Linked DNA regions of Struthio camelus. The main gene of each other region encodes a partner of the protein of the gene in region 2 in a complex. Links are inferred from orthologs where the notes say so. Each region holds a gene or a part of one and is shown on either strand. Other genes may lie near its edges.

Region 1 (7,402 bases), on a different chromosome or scaffold from region 2:
TATCAAATAATATCTATAATCTATAATAACATAGATATGATAATAACATAGATTTAGAAGATCTATGTTATTGGAGAGCTAGTAGTTTCATGACATCGTCTGTATATTGTTAGCCTGAAGAAACCTGCCAATTGAGTGTGCTGCAAGACTAAGGTTTTTTTTTGCAGCTGGTTTTATAGCTCCCGTAGGAATCCCAACACCTGAAAAGGAGAATGGAAGCATATGTGTTAAATATTCCATTCTGCTTTTTCTTTTTAAATAAGTGGTTGATCTAATGTTTTTTGGTTTCTTTCAGAAAGCAAGGCCGATACTCATGTCTTGAAGAACAGGGAAAAATACATAAAAGTAGTATTGGGAGCTGGGGGAGGAGAAGGGGAAAAGCATCGATTTCTTCTATATTGCAGTAAAGAACCAAAAGGTCAGAGCTCAGTTTTATCCCTTCTTCTCCTGCTCCTGATAACCTTTCAAGCTGAAGTTCAGCATATAAAAATACTGATTCAACTCCATTTCTGCCAGTTATTGCTTCTGTCTTTTTCCTCTGCAACATTCTTTATGATTCTTGTATGCAATAACTCTGGAAGGAGACTGTTACTCATAACGTTATTTCAATGGAAAAGATTTCTTTGGTGGCAGTCAGATTGAAGAGAAAATTGCCTTAGAGAAGATATCATAACCAGATGGGGAGGGAAGGTTTTAGATGTGAGGTCTGTATTTTTCAAGGCACCTTAGACTTAGCTTCAGAGATGTATTTTCAGCTGTTTCTCTGTGCTCTTTCTGGGCCCTCCAAGGCACCATTGCAATAAAACTTTCTCTAGCTTGTAGAACCAATACTCTGTGCCTGCCTCCGTTTGCACTATTTCTTACCTTACTCTCCCTTTTCTCTCCCCCAAAACTCCTTTTTAAGCGCATGAACTAAATGTTCTGTTTTTTTTCCGGTTCTCCTGTTCAGGGAGCAGACATGATTAGCATGGACTCTGGTAGGGCTGATTCAATGTTTTAGTATACTGGTGTTCTTGTGTAGTGCATTGGATAGGATATAATTTAATGGAAGTTGGCAAGACTGGAATGTTTGGACAGAGCCAGTCCCAGCAGCGCAGGAAAAGAGAACAGAAGAGTGCAGTTTTTAAAATGCTGCTTGTGTCCAGTTCATGATTATCATGCAGTACGGAGAGGGAAAGGAAGACTTTGCGTACTTCTGGAGAAATGCGTTGATAGTGACAGTAACACAATGAGCCCGTTATGCTTTGCAGAGTATTTTACTTTGCAGGTACTTAGCCTAAAAAACATAGGTATGTTTGTGTCTCATCGCGTTTGAAGTCATTATACAGCAAAACAGCACTGTGTGCAACATTTGCACAAACAAAAGTGTGTATATCTGTGCGTGTGTGTCTTCACATGTTGTGTTTCAGTGATGTGATTTAAGATTTGCCTGAGGTACAGTAGAGACGCTGAGGAACAGCTCTCCCAGTTTCAGCAGTGCCCATGATGGGCTGTCGGAGGATGAGGCAAGAAGCCTAAAAAGAGCGTTTGTGCTGTCCTGTACTTGCTGCTACTTTTGTGTGCATTGGGGTGAAGGGGATAGGAATCTCTTGCAAGAAGATGCCTTTCTGGCTGAAGGGCAAATAGATACAGCTTCCTCTGAGGTTAATCTGAGGTAGCTGCTTTCTGTATCGCCTGGTACTCACCCACCGAAGCTAGGGTGTTAGGGCATCCACAGGTCATCCAGGACCTAAGGGCTGAAAGCAGAAAGAGCTGTGCTCTTATCAGGTGCTGCACTCATTTCCTTTTTAATAGATTTTTTTTTTCTTTTGGAACCAACAGAACCATTTTTATTGCCTGAAAACAGCCATCCATTTTGCTTTGTTCCATGCTTAACAGGCACACCCATTTTGGCCCTTTCCCTGAGACGGCAAAATGCACAAAGGGTTGGCACTGCTCCTGTGCTCCTGCAGGCTGCATCACAGCTTTCCGTTTGTTGTCGTTAGACTGCATGCCCGATCCTTGTTTGTCTTCGGTATCAAGGAATGGCTCCAAAGATCAGCTCATAATACCAGGATTGTGTTGATGGAGTGTTCTTTGTATTGTTTTAAGGAGAAGTAGTGTGCAATCCACTTCACACAGAATCTCATGGTTGTGGAGCAGTGGATATGAACTGCGTCCTGGCAGTGCTGCCAGCTAAAGCTAAGGACAGAAAGGATTTCATTGTGAAGACACTTAAATGCCTGCAGGCGTTACAGAGGTTTAGTAAAGGATTCAGTGTGTCTATATGTGTTTTAATTATATATTTCTGATGGGCTTCTGTTGAGCAATGTTAATGCTATTTCATGAAAAAAAACAATTATGTGAGATTCCAGTTTGGCTCTCATGACTTAGCATGAGATTTGCATGTCTTTTTAGAAGTTTTATGAATAATTTTTTCATAGATGCATTAATTTGTGAGTCCTGGGACTTCCCAAGTAATTTGTTTCTCCCTCCCACATCCAACACTTAAACACTGTGCCCAAGGCCAGCTTAGAGGAGCTGCCTGACCTCCTTGGTGTTGGGATGGGAGAATCGGCAATAGGAAGACAAGGACTGAGACGAGCAGAGAGCTGGGGAGAACGGAGGAGCAGGTAAAATCGGCATGGTGGAGCTAGAAACTATATGGGCTGGGTGAAGCCACTAGAAGAAAGCCCAGGATGAGGGCTGAGGACGTAGCGAGATTTTGGGTTAGAATTAGTGGAGCAGGTGAATGAAGAAGGGAGACTGGAGACGACAGAGGGTGAGAGCAGGGGTACAGCTGGGATGGGGAGGGGAAGGAAGGGAGACCCAGCCTTGGGCGAGGAGCTGTGGGGTTCGGAAAACAGCGCCGGTTGTCTGAGGAGCCCGGGAGTAGAGCAATGAATTTGGGGAGGAAGAGGAGTTGAGTAGAAAAGTACACTCTGTCTCGTTCAGAAACAAACAGACTTCTCCCCTGTCCAAGCCTGAGGCAGTCCTGCAGGAGAGGACTATGTGCTCATATGTTCTTAGAATAAGTAGGTGTAAATGTATTTTTGCTTCCATGTTGGTATTTAGGCGGCTATTTCGGGTGCATCTATAAGTAAATACCGCGGCATACCAGGACCCTGGTCTTTGAGCAGAAACATGCGGTCCGTGGGGGGGTTGTTTGTGTCTGCCGAAGAGCCAGCCCGCACGCTGTCACATGCAGGATTGAGATACCGATGTGTTCAAGTCAGCCCCGCTTCTTTTACCGTCGTGCCATGCCTGCCCGCTGTCCACGCTGCCGTCCCGTTCTTTCGCAGTGCCGGGGTAGGCGCGTTTCCCCCAAGCATCATCCTGCGGCTTGGGGTGTCCCGTGGTAGGCAGAAGCGTGAAGGATCACTCTGAAAGCAACTGTGTTGTATGTAGACAGGGCTTTTCTCAAGCATGGCCAAAGAAACTGGAAAAACAGGAGCCTTTCTTTTTTTTTTTTTCTCCCCTCCCCTAAACCTTTTCAGTGCAACATTAAGTCACTTCCTGCAGATGCAATAAGGGGGGGGAGGTTCTGTCTTTTGAGGCTTATATTCCTGTAAGAGGACACGACTTTCAAACCTAGCTATTTAAAAACAGAGCAGAAAGCTAAATTTGTGTTCAGATACTTAGCTGCCTACTACATCCTGCATGTCTTTGCGGAGGAAACACGGATGTGGAGCCAGTTTAGCTCAGTGGATTATACGGGCAAATGCAAGAGCGTCTGTGTATAAAAACTGCTGCATCCACTTGCCCCGGAGACAGAGCTGCTGCTTTTAAGGAGGAGCAGAAAGCCAGGAACATGTGCAACAGACAGACAGATTTATACAAATGATCTTTTGCTGTTTGCTGGGGAGGGGAGGGGCGCGGGAAGTGGCAGGGGTGGAGGATACTGCACCTTTAAAATATTAACTGTTCGCTTACCGCGGAAATGGACGAGCGTGTTGGACAGCTGAGGACCTTAGGAGGAGGAGAAGGCAGTGCTCACCAGCCCTGGTTGAAACCAAACTCATTGGAGAAAGCTCAGCCTATGAAATGGTGTGCCGTGCTTGGCTGAGTTTACACTAATGTGGGCTTTTTTTTCCTTATGGGGTGAAGAATGAGAGAGTTGAGAGGCAGGGCTTTGGTGAGCCGAGAGCTTGTTTATGACACATGAAGCTGGGACCGCGCGGAGAATTACCGGAGGCCTAGTAATACGTGGCTGGAAAATTTACAGTGTGGGGGCAGAGGCATGTAGCTAATTCAGGTAACCGGAAAGCTGGCTTTTATTATTCCTCCTGCTGCTCAAATGTACCCAGCTCCTCTAATAACTTGTGGCAAGTTCTGTTGTGTGGTGGTGGTGGTGGTGGTGGTGGGGTGTTCCCCCCCTGCCAAATGGGACAAGAGAAACAGGTTATATAGTATTTAAATCTTCTGCCTGCAGAAGCCCGGGAGATGTGGTGAAGTTTTATTTAGATTGCGCTGGAGACATGCGAGTGCTGTGTCTGGGGGACGTCCGAATTTCCCTGACATCCGAGACGACGGTTTCTCTTTTGGTGGTGGAATTCGAGACGCGGCTGGAAACAGGTCCAGCTGCATATTTTTAGTGTGTGGGCTCCATGCAGGTTGGGAGTATAAGAGACAGAGCCGCTGGTCGAAGTAGTGTGATCTCAAGCAAGAGCGAGCTGATAATGCTGCTCTTACGGCAGCAGTTTGCAAAGCAATAAAATAACTGTAGATCAGTTTAAAGTCTACTGGCATTGATAGCTTAAGGAGGGGGGTTGGGGTTGGGTAGCCTGTTTTAATGTACCCTCTGGAGAAGTCGGTCTCTTAGATGATTCACGGCAATACACTGTAATCTTTCTATGACAGCTTAGCATGCGTGCAAGCTTGATGTGACGCGGAAATACTGGAGGGATTTGTGGAAGTACAGTTTGTGCTATGGGCTGTGCCACGTCTCTGCCTCTTTATTCATAAGGTTATCAGTGTGTGCGCATATATTTACACACGCACGTGTATATATATGTGTATGTGTATATATATACATATATATGTACACACACACATATATATGTGTGCACCTTTCAGTATTTGCAGTCCTACTGATTAACTTTGGAAAAGTTCATTGGGATTTTGTGTTACAGGTAGATCAGCAGAATGGTCTGCTTTCTGGGCTGTAACAGCAGCTTTTGCCTAGCGGTGTGCTGTGAGCACCCTTGTCTGTACACTCGTGTTTCAGTGCATAGCCTGCTGAGACATAGTTTCTTTTCCACTTACTGATTTTGTTTCTCCTCCTGCAGAAAAAGAGGAAGCTGTTATAAATGGAGAAGATGAAAAAGAACGGAAAGACCCCTATTTTGTGGAAACACCTTACGGCTACCAGCTGGACTTGGATTTTCTGAAGTACGTGGACGATATACAAAAGGGGAATACCATTAAGAAATTAAACATCCAGAAGAAGAAGAAAGCGGTACCTGCTTCTGCAGGCACCAGGAACCCTGGTGGCCAGGGCAGTGGCTGGACCTCCACCGAGTCTCTCTCGTCATCGAACAGTGATGAGAATAAGCAGTTGTGTGCGGCAGCTAGGAGTCAAGTATCCCCATCTGTCGCTGTGAGACCATCAGTTTCCTTCGAAGCATCTCCTTCCTACTTAACTGTCCCCGAGAGCAAGCAGCTTCCTCCTCCCTCCCCCCAGCTTCCCCAGCACAACCTCCATGTGACAAAAACGCTCATGGAAACGCGGAGACGACTAGAGCAGGAGAGAATGATGCAGGTCACGCCAGGAGAGGTCCGCAGGCCCCGGCTCTCCAGCTTTGGGGGCATGGGCTCAACGAGCTCCCTTCCCTCGTTCGTAGGATCCAGTGGGTACAGCCACATGTCCCAGCAGCTTCAAAACGGGTATCAAGGTAATGGAGACTACGGCGCCTGCTTCGGCTCCTCGCTGGGCAGTTCCATTCGCCACAGCCCCCTGAGTTCGGGAATATCCACGCCGGTGACCAATGTGAGCCCGGTGCATCTGCAGCACATCCGGGAACAAATGGCGATTGCCCTGAAGCGTCTCAAGGAGCTTGAAGAGCAAGTCAAAACCATTCCTGTGCTCCAGGTCAAAATTTCAGTGTTACAAGAAGAGAAGAGGCACATGATGGCAGAACTCAAGAGCCAAAGGAAACCCAGTCAAAACGACATGTATGGTTTCAGGAAACGATCTTACAGTGCAGGAAATGCGGAACAGTGGGAACATCTGTCTCAGGTCAGAAGAGGTGGAGAATTGTATATAGATTGTGAGGAGGACATGGAGAGCATGGAGCAGAGCTCTCAGAGGATAGAGGAGTTTAGGCAGCTGACTGCTGAAATGCAAGCGCTGGAGAAAAAAATCCAGGATAGCAACTATGAAATTCCAGCAAATCTTAGGGTGAACAGAGAGAGCCTAACAAAAGAGAGCAGATCTGTTGCTGTTGGTGCTGATGAAAACATGAACGATGTCGTTATATACAACAGATCTTTGAGGCAACACAGAGAAGTAGCCGTGGGAACAGAGAAAGAAACGAGAGAGTCCGGGGTCGGGGTGACGGAAGCCATGCTTGGCTTGTCTACAGAAGTTGAGAAGGAGCTAGAGCTTCAGCAGCAGACTATTGAAGCCCTGAAGGAGAAGATCTATAGACTAGAAGTTCAGTTAAAGGAAACTACCCATGACAGGGAAATGACCAAATTAAAACAGGAGCTGCAGGCAGCTGGATCTAGGAAAAAAGTGGATAAAGCCTTGATGGCTCAGCCCGCTGTCGTCAGCAGAATGGTGGAGGCTGTGGTACAAACAAGAGACCAAATGGTGGGCGATCATGTGAACGTTGCTGATTCGTCTGTGGGGAACCACCTACAAGTGAGCAGTGTTGGCACCTCCTGCAGGCCTGTCGTACAGAGCACAGCGGTGGGCCCCGAGCTGCTCATGAATCGGTGGCTTGTGAAGGAGAAAGCAGAAGTGCGAGACCAGTGCACGGGAAGATCTGTTGAGGTGTACGATAAGAAGGTGGGTGTAGAGACAAGTGTCTGTGAAACAGGTGTCAACACAGAGGAGTCCGTAGGCGACCTGAGTCTCTGCAAGACGGAGCAGAAGATCAGAGAGGTGAGGTCAATAGGCTGCGGGGACTGTTCAGTGGATGTGATTGTTTGCGCCCCGAAGGAGTGCGTGTCCCGTGAAACGGCCACAGAGGCTGTGTGCAGAGCAGAAGCCACAGTCATGGCCATACCTTGTACAGCTACCCAGCAAACCAGCACGGTTTTGGAAATGATGAGCCAGTGCACCAGTACAGAAGCAGCCTCTCTGACAGACTGCGGCACAAACACTGCTCTGAGCAGTTACGATAAGCAGACCAACACTGTGAACGTGGAGACGCGGACTGTGGCGGTAGGAGATGGCAGGGTAAAGGATGTAAACGTA
Region 2 (7,409 bases):
GGGGCGGGTACCCTTGATGCAGGGCAGGAGGGCGCTGCCGGGGGGCCGGGGGGCGGTTTTGGGGCAGTTTGGGGGTGTTTGGGGGGCGCGTACCCTTGATGCAGGGCAGGAGGGTGCTGCCGGGGGGCGGTTTTGGGGCAGTTTGGGGGTGTTTGGGGTGCGGGTACCCTTGATGCAGGGCAGGAGGGCGCTGCCGGGGGGCCGGGGGGCGGTTTTGGGGCAGTTTGGGGGGGTTTGGGGGGCGGGTACCCTTGATGCAGGGCAGGAGGGCGCTGCCGGGGGGCGGTTTTGGGGCAGTTTGGGGGTGTTTGGGGTGCGCGTACCCTTGATGCAGGGCAGGAGGGCGCTGCCGGAGGGCCCAGGGGCGGTTTTGGGGCAGTTTGGGGGGGTTTGGGGTGCGGGTACCCTTGATGCAGGGCAGGATGGCGCTGCCGGGGGGCCGGGGGGCGGTTTTGGGGCAGTTTGGGGGGGTTTGGGGTGCGCGTACCCTTGATGCAGGGCAGGATGGCGCTGCCGGAGGGCCCAGGGGCGGTTTTGGGGCAGTTTGGGCGTGTTTGGGGTGCACGTACCCTTCATGCAGGGCAGGAGGGCGCTGCCGGGGGGCCGGGGGGCAGTTTTGGGGCAGTTTGGGGGTGTTTGGGGGGCGCGTACCCTTGATGCAGGGCAGGAGGGCGCTGCCGGGGGGCGGTTTTGGGGCAGTTTGGGGGTGTTTGGGGGGCGGGTACCCTTGATGCAGGGCAGGAGGGCGCTGCCGGGGGGCCGGGGGGCGGTTTTGGGGCAGTTTGGGGGGGTTTGGGGGGCGGGTACCCTTGATGCAGGGCAGGAGGGTGCTGCCGGGGGGCGGTTTTGGGGCAGTTTGGGGGGGTTTGGGGTGCGGGTACCCTTGATGCAGGGCAGGAGGGCGCTGCCGGGGGGCCGGGGGGCGGTTTTGGGGCAGTTTGGGGGGGTTTGGGGGGCGGGTACCCTTGATGCAGGGCAGGAGGGCGCTGCCGGGGGGCGGTTTTGGGGCAGTTTGGGGGTGTTTGGGGTGCGGGTACCCTTGATGCAGGGCAGGAGGGCGCTGCCGGGGGGCCCAGGGGCGGTTTTGGGGCAGTTTGGGGGGGTTTGGGGTGCGGGTACCCTTGATGCAGGGCAGGAGGGCGCTGCCGGGGGGCCGGGGGGCGGTTTTGGGGCAGTTTGGGGGGGTTTGGGGGGCGGGTACCCTTGATGCAGGGCAGGATGGCGCGCTGCTGGATGGCCGAGGGCTTCTCGAAGCCGTAGGCGTAGATGCCGCGCAGCAGCGACTCCGAGAGGTTCATGTCGTCGAAGCTGTCCACGATCTCGTTCCAGTTGCTCTGCGGCGGCGGCGGGGGGGGGTCAGGGGGAGGCCTCGGCGGCCGGATCCCCCCCCCCGACCCCCAAAACGGCCCCCGCCGCCCCCCCCCGCTCACCTCGATGACGCCATCGGGGTCCATCCCCTCGGGGCCATTGTCTCGGGGTCTGCCGGGAGGAAGCGGGGGTCACGGCCGTTCCCCCCCGACCCCCCCCGCTCCGCTTCCGCTTGCCCTCTGACCCGGAAGCCGATCCCCGCCGCCTCCCGCCGCTTCCGCCCCGCGCAGGCTCCTCCACGTGGTCGCGGCCTAACTCCCGCCGGAAGTCCCACCCCCTTTTCCCTCCCCTCCATCCCGCGCAGCCCCGCAGCCAATCGGCGGGCCGCGCCGCGGGTGACGTCAGCGCCGCGTGCCCGGCCGGCAGGACAATGGGCGCGAGAGCGCGCGCGGGCGGGGTGGGCTCGCCCGCGGCGGGGAGGGCGGGGGGAGCCGCGGGAGGAACCACGCGCGGAGCGCTGGAGGGAGGGGGGGAACCCCGGCCGCCTTTCTCCCCCCCCCCCCGCGCCCCGATGGGCTCGCCCGGCGCCACCATCGCGGGCGCGCCGCGGGTTGGTGGGGGGGGGGGGTGGGAAGCGGCTCCCACCCCCCTCCCCACTCCGCCCGCGTGGGTGGCCGCCATGGGCGCGCCCACCCGCTCCCCCCTCCCCTCCGCCGCGATGGGCTCGCCCAGGCGCCGCGGCGGGCGCGACCATCGCGGGGGGAGGAGGAGGAGGGCGCCCCCCGCCATGCGGCAAGGGGCGGCTCAGCCGCTGGCGCCGACGGAGACAGAGGAAACCCCCCCCCCTCCTCCTCCTTCCCGGGCCTGGTGGTTCCGCCCAGAGCCCTCAGCCCCTCGCAATCGTGAGGGACCCCCCCCCCCCCGCCGCCCGGTGGTTCCGCCGGGACGGGACCGGCCGGAACCGTGAGGGAATCGCCCCCCCTCAAACCCCCTAGTGGTTCCGCCCGGACGGGACCGGCGGGAACCATGAGGGAATCGCCCCCCCTCAAACCCCCCTAGTGGTTCCGCCCGGACGGGACCGGCGGGAACCGTGAGGGAATCGCCCCCCCCCCCCCGGTGGTTCCGCCCGAACGGGACCGGCGGGAACCGTGAGGGAATCACCCCCCCCCGGTGGTTCCGCCCGAACGGGACCGGCGGGAACCATGAGGGAATCGCGCCTCTCCCCCCCCCCACCCGGTGGTTCCGCCCGAACGGGACTGGCGGGAACCGTGAGGGAATCGCCCCCCCCCGGTGGTTCCGCCCGGACCGGAGGGAATCGCCCCCCCCTCAACCCCCCCTAGTGGTTGCGCCCGGACGGGACCGGCGGGAACCGTGAGGGAATCGCCCCCCCCCCCGGTGGTTCCGCCCGGACCGGAGGGAATCGCCCCCCCTCAACCCCCCCTAGTGGTTGCGCCCGGACGGGACCGGCGGGAACCGTGAGGGAATCGCCCCCCTCCCCCGGTGGTTCCGCCCGGACCGGAGGGAATCGCCCCCCCTCAACCCCCCCTAGTGGTTGCGCCCGGACGGGACCGGCGGGAACCGTGAGGGAATCGCCCCCCCCCCCGCGCCCCTCACCGGCTCTCCTGACTCGCAGACATCCTGGGCAGCGTCGGCGCCCCGCCCGCCCGCGCCCGCCTTATAGCCGCCGCCGCGCCCCGCCCCCGCCGCGCGCCCATTGGCCCGCCGCCGCCGCGCCCGCCCACCGGCTCGGCCCTCATTGGCCCGCCGCTGCCGCCCGCTTGGCCCCGCCTCCTCCCTTCCCCTCCCGCTTCCCCCCTGGGGAGAGGGGGCGCCCCCAGCGCGCATGCGCGCGCGCCCCCCTCCCACTCCCGCCCTCACGGGGCGCCAACGCGCCGCCGGCCGGGGGAGGGGCCACGGGGAGGAAGGGGCGGGGCTAAAGGCGGAAGGGCGGGGCCTCTCCTCCTCCAGCCCCCCCCCACGTGGGCGGCCATGCCGGAGCGCTGGGAGGGGGAGGAGCTTTGTGTGAGCGCCCCTCCCCCACGCCGGGACACCGGGGTCCCTTGGTGGGGGGGGAGGGGTCCCGGACACCTGGGTCCCTTGGGGGGGGGGGACCCGGACACCTGGGTCCCTCTGGGGGGGGGGAGTCGCAGACACCTGGGCCCCTTGGAGGGGGAGGGGTCCTGGACACCTGGGTCCCTTCAAGGGAGAAGGGGTCCCGGACGCCTGGGCCCCTTTTGGGGGGTCCCTGGACACCTGGGTCCCTTGGGGGGGGTCCCGGACACCTGGGCCCTTTGGGGGGGGGCAGAAGTCCCAGACACCTGGGTGCCTTTGGGGGGAGAAGGATCCCGGACGCCTGGGCCCCTTTTGGGGGGTCCCAGACACCTGGGTGCCTTTGGGGGGGGGGGACTAGATGCCTGGGCCCCTTTTGGGGGGTCCCAGACACCTGGGTGCCTTTGGGGGGAGAAGGATCCCGGACGCCTGGGCCCCTTTTGGGGGGTCCCAGACACCTGGGTCCCTTGGGGGGGGGGGGCGGACACCTGAGCCCTTTGGGGGGGGGGCAGAGGTCCCAGACACCTGGGTCCCTTGGGGGGGGGCCGGACGCCTGGGCCCTTTAGAGGGGGGGCAGAGGTCCCAGACACCTGGGTGCCTTTGGGGGAGAAGGATCCCGGACGCCTGGGCCCCTTTTGGGGGGTCCCAGACACCTGGGTGCCTTTGGGGGGAGAAGGATCCCGGACGCCTGGGCCCCTTTTGGGGGGTCCCAGACACCTGGGTGCCTTTGGGGGGAGAAGGATCCCGGACGCCTGGGCCCCTTTTGGGGGGTCCCAGACACCTGGGTCCCTTTGGGGGGGGGGACCGGACACCTGGGCCCCTTTTGGGGGGTCCCAGACACCTGGGTCCCTTTGGGGGGGGGGGACCGGAAGCCTGGGCCCCTTTTGGGGGGTGCTGGACACCTGGGTCCCTTGGAGCGGGGGGGAGGTCCCAGACACCTGGGTGCCCTTGGGGGGGGGGACCAGACACCTGGGCCCCTTTTGGGGGGTCCTGGACACCTGGGGCCTTTGGGGGGGGGGGGGAGGTCCCAGACACCTGGGTCCCTTGGGGGGGGGGGGCGGACGCCTGGGCCCTTTAGGGGGGCAGAGGTCCCAGACACCTGGGTGCCTTTGGGCGGGGGGGGAAGAGACCGGACGCCTGGGCCCCTTTGAGAAGGCGAGGGGCAGACGGGGGAGCGAGGAGGGGGAGCGGAGGCGCTCGGACGCCTGGGTCCCCCGGTGGCGTTGGTGGGGGGGGGGGGGGGGAGTCCCAGGACGCCTGGGCCCCATGTGCCCCCCCCCCCCCGGCGGGGTCGCGGTCCCGGCCCAGGCGGCTCCAAACCGGTTCTTTATTGCCCGACAAGAGTCGCGGCCCCGGCGGCTGTACAAAACCCGCCCCCCCCCCCCCAGAACAGCCCCCCATCCCCGCGGCGGCCTGGCACAGGCGGCGGGCCGGCACAGGCGGCGGGGCGGCACAGGCGGCGGCGTCACACGGCCAGCTTGCAGTGGCAGAGCTCCTTGTACATCTGGCGCCGCAGCTTGGGCATGTCCTGCTGCGTGAAGCTGAACGGCAGCCCCAGCGCCAGGAACTTGCAGTACTGGGGGGGGGAGAGGGGCGTCGGGGGGGGGTCCTCGGGGGGGGACCCCAGGGGGGCACAGGGGGTCCTCGGCCGTCGGGGGGAGCCCCAGCAGGGGCCCCCTGGGGGGGCTCGGGGGAGGCCCGGGGCGGGGGGTCATGGAGGGACCCGGGGGGGCTCCTAGGGGGGCTGGAGGGGGTCACAAGGGAGGCCGGGGGGTCGGGGGGGACCCCAGGTGGTTGAGGGGGTCCTCGGGGGTCAGGGGGACACCAAGGGGGTCAGGGGGAGCCCCAGCAGGGGCCCCGGGGGGCTCTTAGGGGGTTGGGGGGGTCATGGAGGGACCCAGGGGGGGTCCTAGAGGCATTTGGGGGGGTCACAAGGTACACCCGGGGGGTCACAAGGGACCCCAGGGGGTTGAGGGGGTCCTCGGGGGTCAGGGGGAGCCCCAGCAGGGGCCCTGGGGGGCTCTTAGGGGGTTCGGGGGGTCATGGAGGGAGCCGGGGGGGGGGCTCCTAGGGGGGCTGGGGGGGGTCACAAGGGAGGCCGGGGGGGTCAGGGGAGACCCCAGGGGGTTGAGGGGGTCCTCGGGGGTCAGGGGGACACCAAGGGGGTCAGGGGGGGGCCCCAGCAGGGGCTCTGGGGGGTTCTTAGGGGGTTCGGGGGGTCATGGAGGGACCCGGGGGGGGGTCCTAGAGGCATTGGGGGGGGTCACAAGGGAGGTCGGGGGGGGTCGGGGGGGACCCCAGGGGGTTGAGGGGGTCCTCGGGGGTCAGGGGGACACCAAGGGGGTCGGGGGGAGCCCCAGCAGGGGCCCTGGGGGGCTCTTAGGGGGTTGGGGGGGTCATGGAGGGACCCGGGGGGGGCTCCTAGGGGGTGGGGGGGGTCACAAGGGAGGCCAAGGGGGGTCAGGGGGAGGTGAGGGGGGCCCGCGGGGGGGTCCGTGGGGGCCCTGGGGGGGTCATGGGAGGTGAGGGGGCCCGCGGGGGGGTCGGGGGGGCCCTGGGGGGGTCATGGGAGGTGAGGGGGCCCGCGGGGGGGTCGGGGGGGCCCTGGGGGGGTCATGGGAGGTGAGGGGGGCCCCAGGGGGGTCCGGGGGGGCCCTGGGGGATCATGGGAGGTGAGGGGGCCCGCGGGGGGGTCCGGGGGGGCCCTGGGGGATCATGGGAGGTGAGGGGGCCCGTGGGGGGGTCCGGGGGGGGGCACCGGCGCCCCCCAGCCCCTACCTGCAGCACGAAGGCGCCGCAGTCGCTGTCGTTGTTCTGGCGGGCGACGTTCTGGGGGGGGGGGAGAGAAGCAGCCCGTGAAGGGGGGGGGAGAGGGGGCCCAGGCGTGCGGGCGGCCCCGGCGGGGGCCCAGGCGTCCCCTCCGTCCCCCCCCCCCCCGACGGCGCTCACCATCTTGAAGGCGCCCCGCCAGCCCTCGCGGAAGTCCGGCCGCTCCTTCCGGTCGGCCTCGGCCTGCAGGTAGCGGCAGATGTGCTGCCGCGGGGGCGGGGTCAGTGCCCGGGGCAGGGGGCGGGGTCAGCCGGGGCCCCGCCCACCCGGCCCCGCCCACCCCCCCGGAGCGTTGGGAGGGAGGGAGGGAGGGGGAAGGAGAGGGGGTGGAAGCAGCTGGTGTGGCCCCGCCCCCCGCAGGAGGCCCCGCCCCCGGCGCCGAGGCCCCGCCCACCTCGGGGTGGGGGGAAAGCAGCCACTGAGAAGACACGGGGCAGGGCCTGAGCACATGGTGTGGCCCCGCCCCTCCACCGGGCCCCGCCCACCCCAGGAGGCCCCGCCCACCCCAGGAGGCCCCGCCCACCCCAGGAGGCCCCGCCCACCCCACCAGCTATTGGCAGCACGCTGGGGGCTGAAGCACATGGGGTGGCCCCGCCCTCCGGCTCCCAGGCCCTGCCCCCTGCTCCCAGGCTCCGCCCACCCCAGGCCCCGCCCACCTTGGGGCAGCGGCGGTTGAGGGTGCGCTGGGAGTCCAAGGTCATGCATCACCACGCCCCCCACGCCCCGCCCCTGCTCCCGGGCCCCGCCCCCTCGCCCCCAGGCCACGCCCCCTCGCCCCCAGGCCACGCCCCCTCGCCCCCAGGCCCCGCCCACCTCGGCGCAGCAGCGGTTGAGGGTGCGCTGGGAGTCGAAGTAGGTGATGCGCCGGCGCGCCCCCCTCCGCCCCGCCCCTGCTCCCAGGCCCCGCCCCCTCGCCCCCAGGCCCCGCCCCCTGCCCGCAGGCCCCGCCCACCTTGGGGCAGCGGCGGTTGAGGGTGCGCTGGGAGTTGAAGTAGGTGATGCGCCGGCGTGCCCCCCCTCCGCCCCGCCCCCTCGCCCCCAGGCCCCGCCCCCTGTCCGCAGGCCCCGCCCCCTGCCCGCAGGCCCCGCCCACCTTGGGGCAGCGGCGGTTGAGGGTGCGCTGGGAGTCGAAGTAGGTGATGCGCCGGCGCGCCCCCCCTCCGCCTCGCCCCCAGGCCCCGCCCCCTGCCCGGAGGCCCCGCCCCCTGCCCGGAGGCCCCGCC
Region 3 (7,758 bases), on a different chromosome or scaffold from region 2:
AACCATTCGTGCGGGGAGGGGGAAGGGATACCCTGCCGGAGAGTGGGGCAGGAGCGGGTTCCCCCCCACCACCCCCCTCGCCCGACCTGCTGCGGTGAGGCCGGGGGCGCCATTTGCTGTCCCGGCCGCTGAGGAGAGACGTGCTGCTCCGCGGGGAGCTGCTAGCCGCCCCCGGGGGGGGGGGGGAGGAAGGGGGGCAACGGCCTCGCTCCCCACCGCGCAGCCCCGGCCTCAGCAGCCCCCCCACTCCCCGGTCACGGCAACGGCCGCCGCCCGGGCCACGGGCCTGGCCGGCCGCGGGCTCCCGAGTGAACGCCATCCCACCCGCGGAAGGGAGGGATGCGATGTCCAGCGCGGAAAAAAAGGTGGCGGAAATAAACCTGCACGGGTGCGGGAGCCAAGGGGGCCCCGTACGCTGCTGCCGACGGCGTCTGCTGCCCGAGCTGCGCTCGGCCCACCTGGCCGGGTGGCTGGAGCAAAGCTGTGTTGCCTGGGCAGCTGCACGGAGCCGTGCCCTTCGGGGCGTCACGCACGCAGCGGGCCAGCTAGATCCATTTTCCCACCTTGTGTACCATTAGTTGCCCCGACCCACTCGTAAAAGTGCACTTGGTCGTTATCTCCTGACTTGTGTCATTTCAGGGGGTCATTAGTGTCGGTTAGCAGCAGAAACCTTGAACGGGTTCTAGATTAGATCTGAAATGGCAAAGCCTGGAAGGTGGGGGAGCAGTTCCACCCGCAGCAAACGGGAAGGGGCGAAGTGGGGCTTTTGCAGGTCGAATTACAAAACCTCACCAAGGCAGATGGAGTTCTGCACAAAAACTGAAAGAGAAATGTGGACGCTTTGACAGCTCTTCCTGACTCCTGTTCAAGCACTCTATCCTCCTCCTTTAATTAGGAATCATTACATTTTTTGTAGGCAAAACCACCAGAAAAATATTACTACTTCTTTATGTTATTCTAGTCTAACACCAGGGTTTCAGATCTTTTTGTTTCCTCTTCACACAGGATCCATGTACCCACTCCCTGTCTGCAGTATTCGGTGTTACAGGACAGGAGTTTAGAGATCCTGGCAGGAGGACACCACGCAATTGCCTCAAACTTGGCAGACGGGACTCATTCATTTTCAGGGAAGCTGACCCATAAAAGATGCTGCAGCCAGTCGTCTTCATTGCTAAAACCCTTAGCACAGTGCACATTTAGGGGGTTGATAGCCATCCGCAGCCCTCTAAATGTTCTACTTTATATTACTTTACCCTTACCCTGTTTATTCTATGTACACTGCCTAAGGCCACCTAATTAGAAATGATGGTCCCATTTCCTTGTCAAATATTTTGTCCCCGTTCACAGTGTCTCCTAAAACCTCAGCTAATCCCTTATTTTCCCTCTCTAATTTCTCACCCCTGAGAGCCTAAGCAATAGCACTTCACTGCTACGAGGGAATAAAACATAGATCAGTTCTGCTTTAGTACTCCTGCATTGCAGGATTTTTCAGCTACCAGCAAGAGAATCCCCCTCAGCTGATACATTATCACTTGACTTTTATAGTATTTTTACATATTACTCCACTATAATTCTATGCTGAATAGGTGTAGATTTGACTGAATTAAGAGCTAAACTTTCCCTATATTAGACCCTGTAAATTCATTTTTTGGCCTGGCTCTGCATGAATCATCATAAGCAGGTTTAAGAATTAAAACAACAAATGATATTCTACTAAAAAGACTGTGCAGCATGATATTTTTACTCAGCCATCCTCTTTGACTGCTATGTTTTAGTAATGAAAAAACCACTTCCCCTCTCAGACAAATAATAGAAAATCTTTCGTGTTCACCAAGACACTAAGTTCCAGGCATTTTCTAGTCAGGGAAGTTTAGCATGTTCATACAAGACTATTTCCACATGCAACCTAGAGGCACCCTTGAAAGATGTTGTTTTCTCATCAATCAAAACATAATTTCCACTTTGCTCTTTGCACATCCACTGATTAGCATGCACAAGGCAAAACACCACAGTGACATTACTGAAATTTGGAAAGTCAATCCAGGCCATTAACAAATAAAATGGAATTAACTCCCCCCTGTAAGAGAGAAGATAACCCTTAAAGGGCTTTTGCACTGAGGAGGGGAGAGATGGCAGAGACAGCAGATTGAAACAGTAAAAAGAACCTGCACAAGAGAAAATACAACAAAATACCACATCCGTGCATCATGCCAATTGTTACTAAATGTTTTAAAGCACTGCGGAAAATTGCTGGAGGATTTTCTGCTAAAATTGAGGACTGGATCACTTCCAAGAGGCCCAAAATCTGGGTCATTAATCAAAAAAAGATGAAAAACCCTGAACCAGCGAGCACACCTCCAGACAAGAAAAAGTTGTGTTTTCTTCTTTCTCCTGCTGAATGTCTCTTAGCACTTTGGATATCAGCCACTGAAAATCTCATCTAGGTTTGGCTGTACGTGCATGAGAGCTTGTTTGTGTTTTCCCACTCTATCAGCCAATCTAATAAAAGACATCATCTCTTTCTGCCTTTCTAGCCTCAAAACGTCCTGTGATAGATAAAGGAATCAGCCAAATCACACATTAATCCCTGAGCTGCTGCACAGAGTCGCTCCCTGCCTGCTTGCCTCCCTCCCTCCTCCAGCTGTATGAACAGCAAACGCCGCCAAATTCCCCATCAAAGCAGACCAGCAGAGTTGCCCTCCTCCCCTCCCAGTTATCATTCAGACCAAGTTGAGTTATTCTTAGGAAAAAACCCTTCTTCCGACAGCTCCTGGCCGACCCCCAGCTCAGCGCGACCCACGCGAGCCGCGCTGCTCTACGCCAGCCCCCCGACACCTGCGGCCCGGGGTTACCTGCGCCCGGGACCTCGACGGCGCCGGCCCGCGCCCGGCGGGCTCCTCCTGCCCTGCCGCCCCTAACGCCGCCGATCACCTGCAGCGAAACGCTCGAACAGAGCCAAGCGGGCCACTTTCTAACCTTCTTCCTTCCTTCGAGCCTGCTGGGTTGTTTTCAAACTCTTCCCCTCCCTTTCTCACATGCTGGCCAAGCCCTCCCGTAACACCCAGGGGAGGAATCCATTGGCTGAAGTTCCCCAAAACGCGTGGAGCAGCCCTTCCCCCCCGGCCAGTGTCTAGCGCACAATAGACACCGCGTGTCTCCAGGCTGCCCTGGCCAGTTTGCTGCCAGCCTTTGCTTTTCATCAAGGTTTATTTGAACTGTAGCTGTTGTTACTCACTTAGGTCATCAGACCGCCAGCACCAGAGAGACCAATACAAAGCAGAAAGAAATGGTTAGAAATGTCACAGAGCAGTTTCACTGTACTCCCCACGGTGGACTTTTCAACGTTTTACTTTCTGTTTTAGGTATTTTCAAAAGGCAGCATCTGTGATCCTGACACCTCAGCAGTTCTGTTTGATTACAATCTGGTCTGTTACTATGTCACTTAGAGTATAAATTTCCACACATAATGCAGACAGCAACAAAACGTATCGTATCTGTTAAGTCAATCTGCTCCGTTCAGTTGCCTGTCTCTTGGCCTTCTGGTTTCTTTTCCTTCAAAGTACTGTTATTTTGCATCTTCTGCACTGGCTTCAAGGTGCATACATAAAACAAACTGCAAGCACAGCAATCCCGTTCCTCCTCAGTCAGCCTCAGCTCCAGGTTGAAAGGCTACTAAAAACCGCCTTTGCTTTTTTAGTGCTCTCTAGTTTGAGTTGCTTTTGAACATCTTCCCACGGTTCGCTCCGTGAGCTCTGGACTGGGCTGCCCTGCGGATGAGGGCAGGCATCTCCGTGGGATGGAAGGGGATCAGCTCAGGTCTACCTTGGTGGGAGAACTGAAGTGCCTCTCACTGAAACGGCTTTGGACAAACCACAGCTTGCTTGTCCCTGCGTCTGTCTCTTGCTTGTCTTTCCCAGACTCGCTACTGACAGCGCACAAAACCCCTTCCCTCTTCATATTTCTGAGTACGCCCTCCCGGCAGAAAGTTTAAAATTGGGTTTGCTTTGTAAAACTGACACAAGCATGTCTCCTTTGTGTTACAGTTGTCATCTGTTCATTCTTGCCCTAACAAAAGGCAATCATGCATCTGAAAAGACATTTTCCTGGAAAGGGCTGAACTTGTCAAATGTGCAGAAAAAAAAAACGGAGTACTTCATTTGGCTGTAAAGAATTGCAGACAGTGAGTTCATTTGAAAGCTAATAATCAGATGCACGTAATACTGTCTTACCCTCAGAATAATTGTCCTTTTTACCTGGTTTGCTGTGGGAGAAAATCTTAGGGAGTCATTTATTGTAACAAGGTGTGTTATTGCCTTGTAATTATTGTTTGACAAGCTGAGGTCCTGTGATATATATGGAATTAATAAATCATGTGCCTGCTTTTCTGTGTATGTACAATCACACCTCTGTATTTATATTGACAGAGGGTTACAAAATATGTACCTATGTGCATAGGACTGGCAGAAACTTCTGGGCCACAGGGTCTCCTATCACAGGCACCATGTGATATAATCCTTTTTATAAACTTATCGAGTTCCGTCCTCAAAGCGATTCAGTATTTGGCATACAGGAGAACAACTGGGAGGCTTGTTCCTGAACCAGACTGTCAAACAGTTAGTAACAATCTTCTAATGAAAACGTCTGATACCTCTTTTTGATCCTTTACCCTGTACCAGCACTGGCCTTTAGCATCATTAGCTCTTCCCTCTCCCTTCCTGGGAGACGCTTCCATGATGTATTTACAGAGAGAAATCCTGTTGCTCTCAGCGTTCACTTTGCAAAATCCCACAAGGTAACTTCTCCTTCCATTCCCCAGCCGTCACTGGAGCCCTTGTCTGCAGCTTTCCTGTCACGTGCTAGGGCTGCGTTTAGCTTTTTTCTTTTTTCCATCCTGTTGGCAACTCGGTTATTCTGTGAGTGAAGCGTGAGCTGCCAACCAGCTTGTATCAAAGGGTTTGGTCATCTGTGCCTCTGACCTTCCCTTTCTGCTGATTTCTCTCTTGCAGTTAGCCATTTTTTTCTGCGTATCATCTCAGGCCTGCTTTGTCCTGATGATGCCTCGTATTTTCTGTCATCAGCAATTTCACCAGTCCTCCATTAACATTGGGGCCAAGCTCATTTACAAAAACACTATGCCAGATCTCCAAGACTGATCTTTTAACACTCCCCCAATAACTTCCATCTAACCTAATAGTCTTTCCTGCACTGCTCTCACAGCAGGTCTTCACCAAATGTGCTTTAACCCTTGTGCTAAATCACTTCTCTCTTTACCTAAGAACTTTCCACGGGGCACCACATGAAATGCGTAACTGAAGTCCAGATAGGTGAGATCCGCCCCGTTTCCTTCACTAAGCAAATCACTTACTTTGTCCAAGAAAGATAAATGGATTTGATAAACCCATTCAATCTCATGCCATTTACCTCCCTCCCCTTAACCATCCCTTCCTTCACAATTTGTTGTGAAGCCTTCCATACACCGAGTTGAAACTTTCATGCCTGTTCTTGTCCAGATCGGTTCCTTCTCGCTTCTTACATGTAAGGCCTGTGCCTGCTATTCTGTCCCTGAACAGAGGGATCTGGTTCAGAACTAGCCCTAGACATTAGGGCTAGTTCTTCCAGAGCTCTGGCATGCGGATTATCCCGTTCCCCTGCCTTGGCAGCAGGAAGGCTCCTGGAGATTTGCCTCCATCCTGGCTGCGCCCATTTCCATATCCCCGTGCCATCATCCCTCTCATCTTCAGCCTTGTGAGTAACATCCTCACCCTCAGTGAAAGTTAAGGCAAAGTAGGAATTTGGATTTTGCACACATCTAATTTAACACTAGCCTCTATCCCATCCTCACTGTAGAGTAACCTCTCTTTTTCTTTCCCCGTTTTCTTCAGCTATGTGCATCCAGGAAAAGTATTTTCCCATTCATATTAATATCCTCTAGAAGCCTCAAGTCTGCCTGACTTAGGAGACATAGCTTGTTAACCAATCAGTCATTTTGCTTTTTAAAATAGTTCCTTTTAATCACTTTTTATTCTCAGTATCATTTCTGAGGTTGTGATTGATTCAACTGTAGTCTCACCATTCAAGATTTTCCCCTTGCTTGCGTTTTCTCCAGAGGGAACTTAGGCTTAATTAACTGGCAGTTTATTGCCTGTCCTGGAGTTTTATCCCAGTAAAACTTAGACAGCCTCTTCTATGTATAGATCCCCTAGCTCCTAAGGAAAGCTAACTAGTTTCTGTTATTTATTTAAATGTGTCCCTTGGAAATCTGAAGCTGTGTCAGTCACACCTGCCTTGCTCACAGGGCTGTAGTGTTTTAAGCAGGGTTTTGTTTGTCATTAGAAAACCAGACAGATTTTGCATTTTCCAGAAAAAAATTGAGAAGACAAAAGTGGACTTTCCTGATATTTCTGGGGTAAAAATAAGCAAAACGGAATGAAAGAGCAGACGCAATTAGCTGCTGTTTTTAGAAATAAATGATTACTGTAAAAATATAACTGTGCAGGTCACCTTTTGTGGTTATTCACCAAAAAAACATTCTATCTCAGCAGAGCCAGGAGACTCAACCAAGGCTTTCTCATGGTGGGTTATGTCTACACATCTCTTTTCACCCGCTTTCTCTTCTGCTCTCCTCTTTCTCTCTCTCTTATGTCTTTTCCTCTTCAGTCCCTCCTTCTTGCCTTCTCCGTGCTGACACACCGTCTCAATGTCCCAAAACTGAACTGGAAGCTAGAGATGTGACAGTGTAGAAGGGCTTCAATTTCCCAGCTCTGTTGCTGCAAGCCACGCAGATTTGGCACCTTATGCATCCATCTCAGCCCAGCCGGCTGAGCCAGCCAAAGAGCATAGCATTTCAGAAGTGCATTACTGATCTCCTTGCAGGTGCCTACACGTATATCTAGGTTCCCTGGAAGGCTTGGACCACCTGGATTGGAGTCTGCGTTGCTGCACCCTTGCTGTTGTCGGGACTTGGCGAGCAGGTGAGTAGCAGCCTGGCTGTTCCTGCATACTCTGCGATCTGGCTGCAGTGATACAGGCAAAAACACTCCTGATCCTCCCCTGTATAGCTTGTTCTGGGGCACAAACATTGAAGTGGCTCTCTGGTAATGTCTTCTGTAAAGGAAGGTCTTCGTAGTCTCCCCATGTGCATATGGCCAGCGAGCTGGAGGGAGCGTGCTGGAAACTGGGGGCTGAAGCAGTGGTGTTCGGCCCGGTGGCTGCAAGGCTGTGGTGGATGCGCCCACAGCAGACTGCACCAGGTCTTGCCCTCAGGGGGTCTGCCCTACGAGCAGCGGCCACTGGCTGCCATGGACTTGGCCACACAGTGCCATCCGCCAAAGCAGATTGCAATGTCAAGCGTGACAGAGCCTGCAACAACACGTCCGCTGACTCTGTGGGGCTCCTTTGGAGGAGACGGGCTTAGGAGCCACTGGTGCTGCTCTGAGCCACAGAGCAGCTCCCGGGCAGCAGTGCCAGGTGCCTCCTGAGCACTGCCAAGGCTGTGCTGACCCTCCGAGCAGGGCCAGTGCTACCTCCAGCTCTGCGCTCCCAAAGGAGGTGGCTTGGCACAGAAAAGGAGAGGTGTGGCCTTGCATTAGGGCATGAGCGGTGGAGTCAGCAGTTCGGGGCTGAGTTCCCACCTCTGACGCCGACTTACTGCATGACCTAAGGCAAGTCACTTAGCTGCTTTCCTTCATTTCCTGACTCTGCTAAATGCCAGGGATAATAAGTAACTTTGTATGAGTGCTGCGAAGCTTTGAAATCTTT

What was found.
Region 1: the proteins of EIF4A1 (region 2) and KANK1 are in contact, whole or in part, in a crystal structure (PDB 7DDX), measured with the Mus musculus proteins. The link is inferred for Struthio camelus from reciprocal best matches to the Homo sapiens genes EIF4A1 and KANK1. Residues at the interface, in NP_659207.1 of Mus musculus: Lys99, Val140, Arg141, Val144, Gln145, Lys146, Leu147, Gln148, Met149, Glu150, Ala151, Arg168, Arg169, Tyr170, Ser172; in NP_852069.4 of Mus musculus: Gly1168, Asn1169, Asn1171, His1175, Tyr1176, Val1178, Asn1201, Lys1202, Ala1203, Tyr1205, Met1209, Leu1210, Leu1213, Ala1214, Ala1215, Gln1240, Ala1241, Leu1248, Ser1251, His1252, Arg1254, Asp1273, Glu1274, His1285.
Region 3: the proteins of EIF4A1 (region 2) and PDCD4 are in contact, whole or in part, in a crystal structure (PDB 2ZU6), measured with the Homo sapiens proteins. The link is inferred for Struthio camelus from reciprocal best matches to the Homo sapiens genes EIF4A1 and PDCD4. Residues at the interface, in NP_001407.1 of Homo sapiens: Gln75, Thr109, Arg110, Glu111, Ile135, Gly137, Val140, Thr158, Gly160, Arg161, Asp164, Glu186, Leu188, Ser189, Arg190, Gly191, Phe192, Gln195, Ala214, Thr215, Met216, Pro217, Glu240, Leu241, Thr242, Asn280, Thr281, Arg282, Arg283, Thr329; in NP_055271.2 of Homo sapiens: Pro170, Gln173, Glu174, Glu177, His178, Glu183, Glu186, Met187, Asp190, Leu209, Glu210, Lys212, Glu249, Leu250, Leu252, Asp253, Thr254, Pro255, Arg256, Gly320, Gln321, Gln322, Ser323, Val324, Leu327, Glu348, Lys352, Glu355, Val356, Pro357.

Annotation. Positions count from the first base shown.
Region 1 is NC_090982.1:9,422,592-9,429,993, reverse strand, and holds the start of KANK1 (KN motif and ankyrin repeat domain-containing protein 1), read left to right. Parts: upstream 1-4,365; 5' UTR 4,366-4,457; coding exon 4,458-4,554; intron 4,555-5,267; coding exon 5,268-7,402.
Region 2 is NW_027182614.1:1,522-8,930, reverse strand, and holds the start of EIF4A1 (eukaryotic initiation factor 4A-I), read right to left. Parts: upstream 3,021-7,409; 5' UTR 2,946-3,020; coding exon 2,923-2,945; intron 1,480-2,922; coding exon 1,431-1,479; intron 1,335-1,430; coding exon 1,202-1,334; intron 1-1,201. Other genes in the region: SENP3 (sentrin-specific protease 3), read right to left, coding at 4,823-4,933, 6,136-6,186, 6,307-6,390. UniProt on the Homo sapiens protein: ATP-dependent RNA helicase which is a subunit of the eIF4F complex involved in cap recognition and is required for mRNA binding to ribosome.
Region 3 is NC_090948.1:12,156,491-12,164,248, forward strand, and holds the start of PDCD4 (programmed cell death protein 4), read right to left. Parts: upstream 3,038-7,758; 5' UTR 2,853-3,037; intron 500-2,852; exon of another isoform or gene 381-499; intron 1-380. UniProt on the Homo sapiens protein: Inhibits translation initiation and cap-dependent translation. May excert its function by hindering the interaction between EIF4A1 and EIF4G. Inhibits the helicase activity of EIF4A. Modulates the activation of JUN kinase.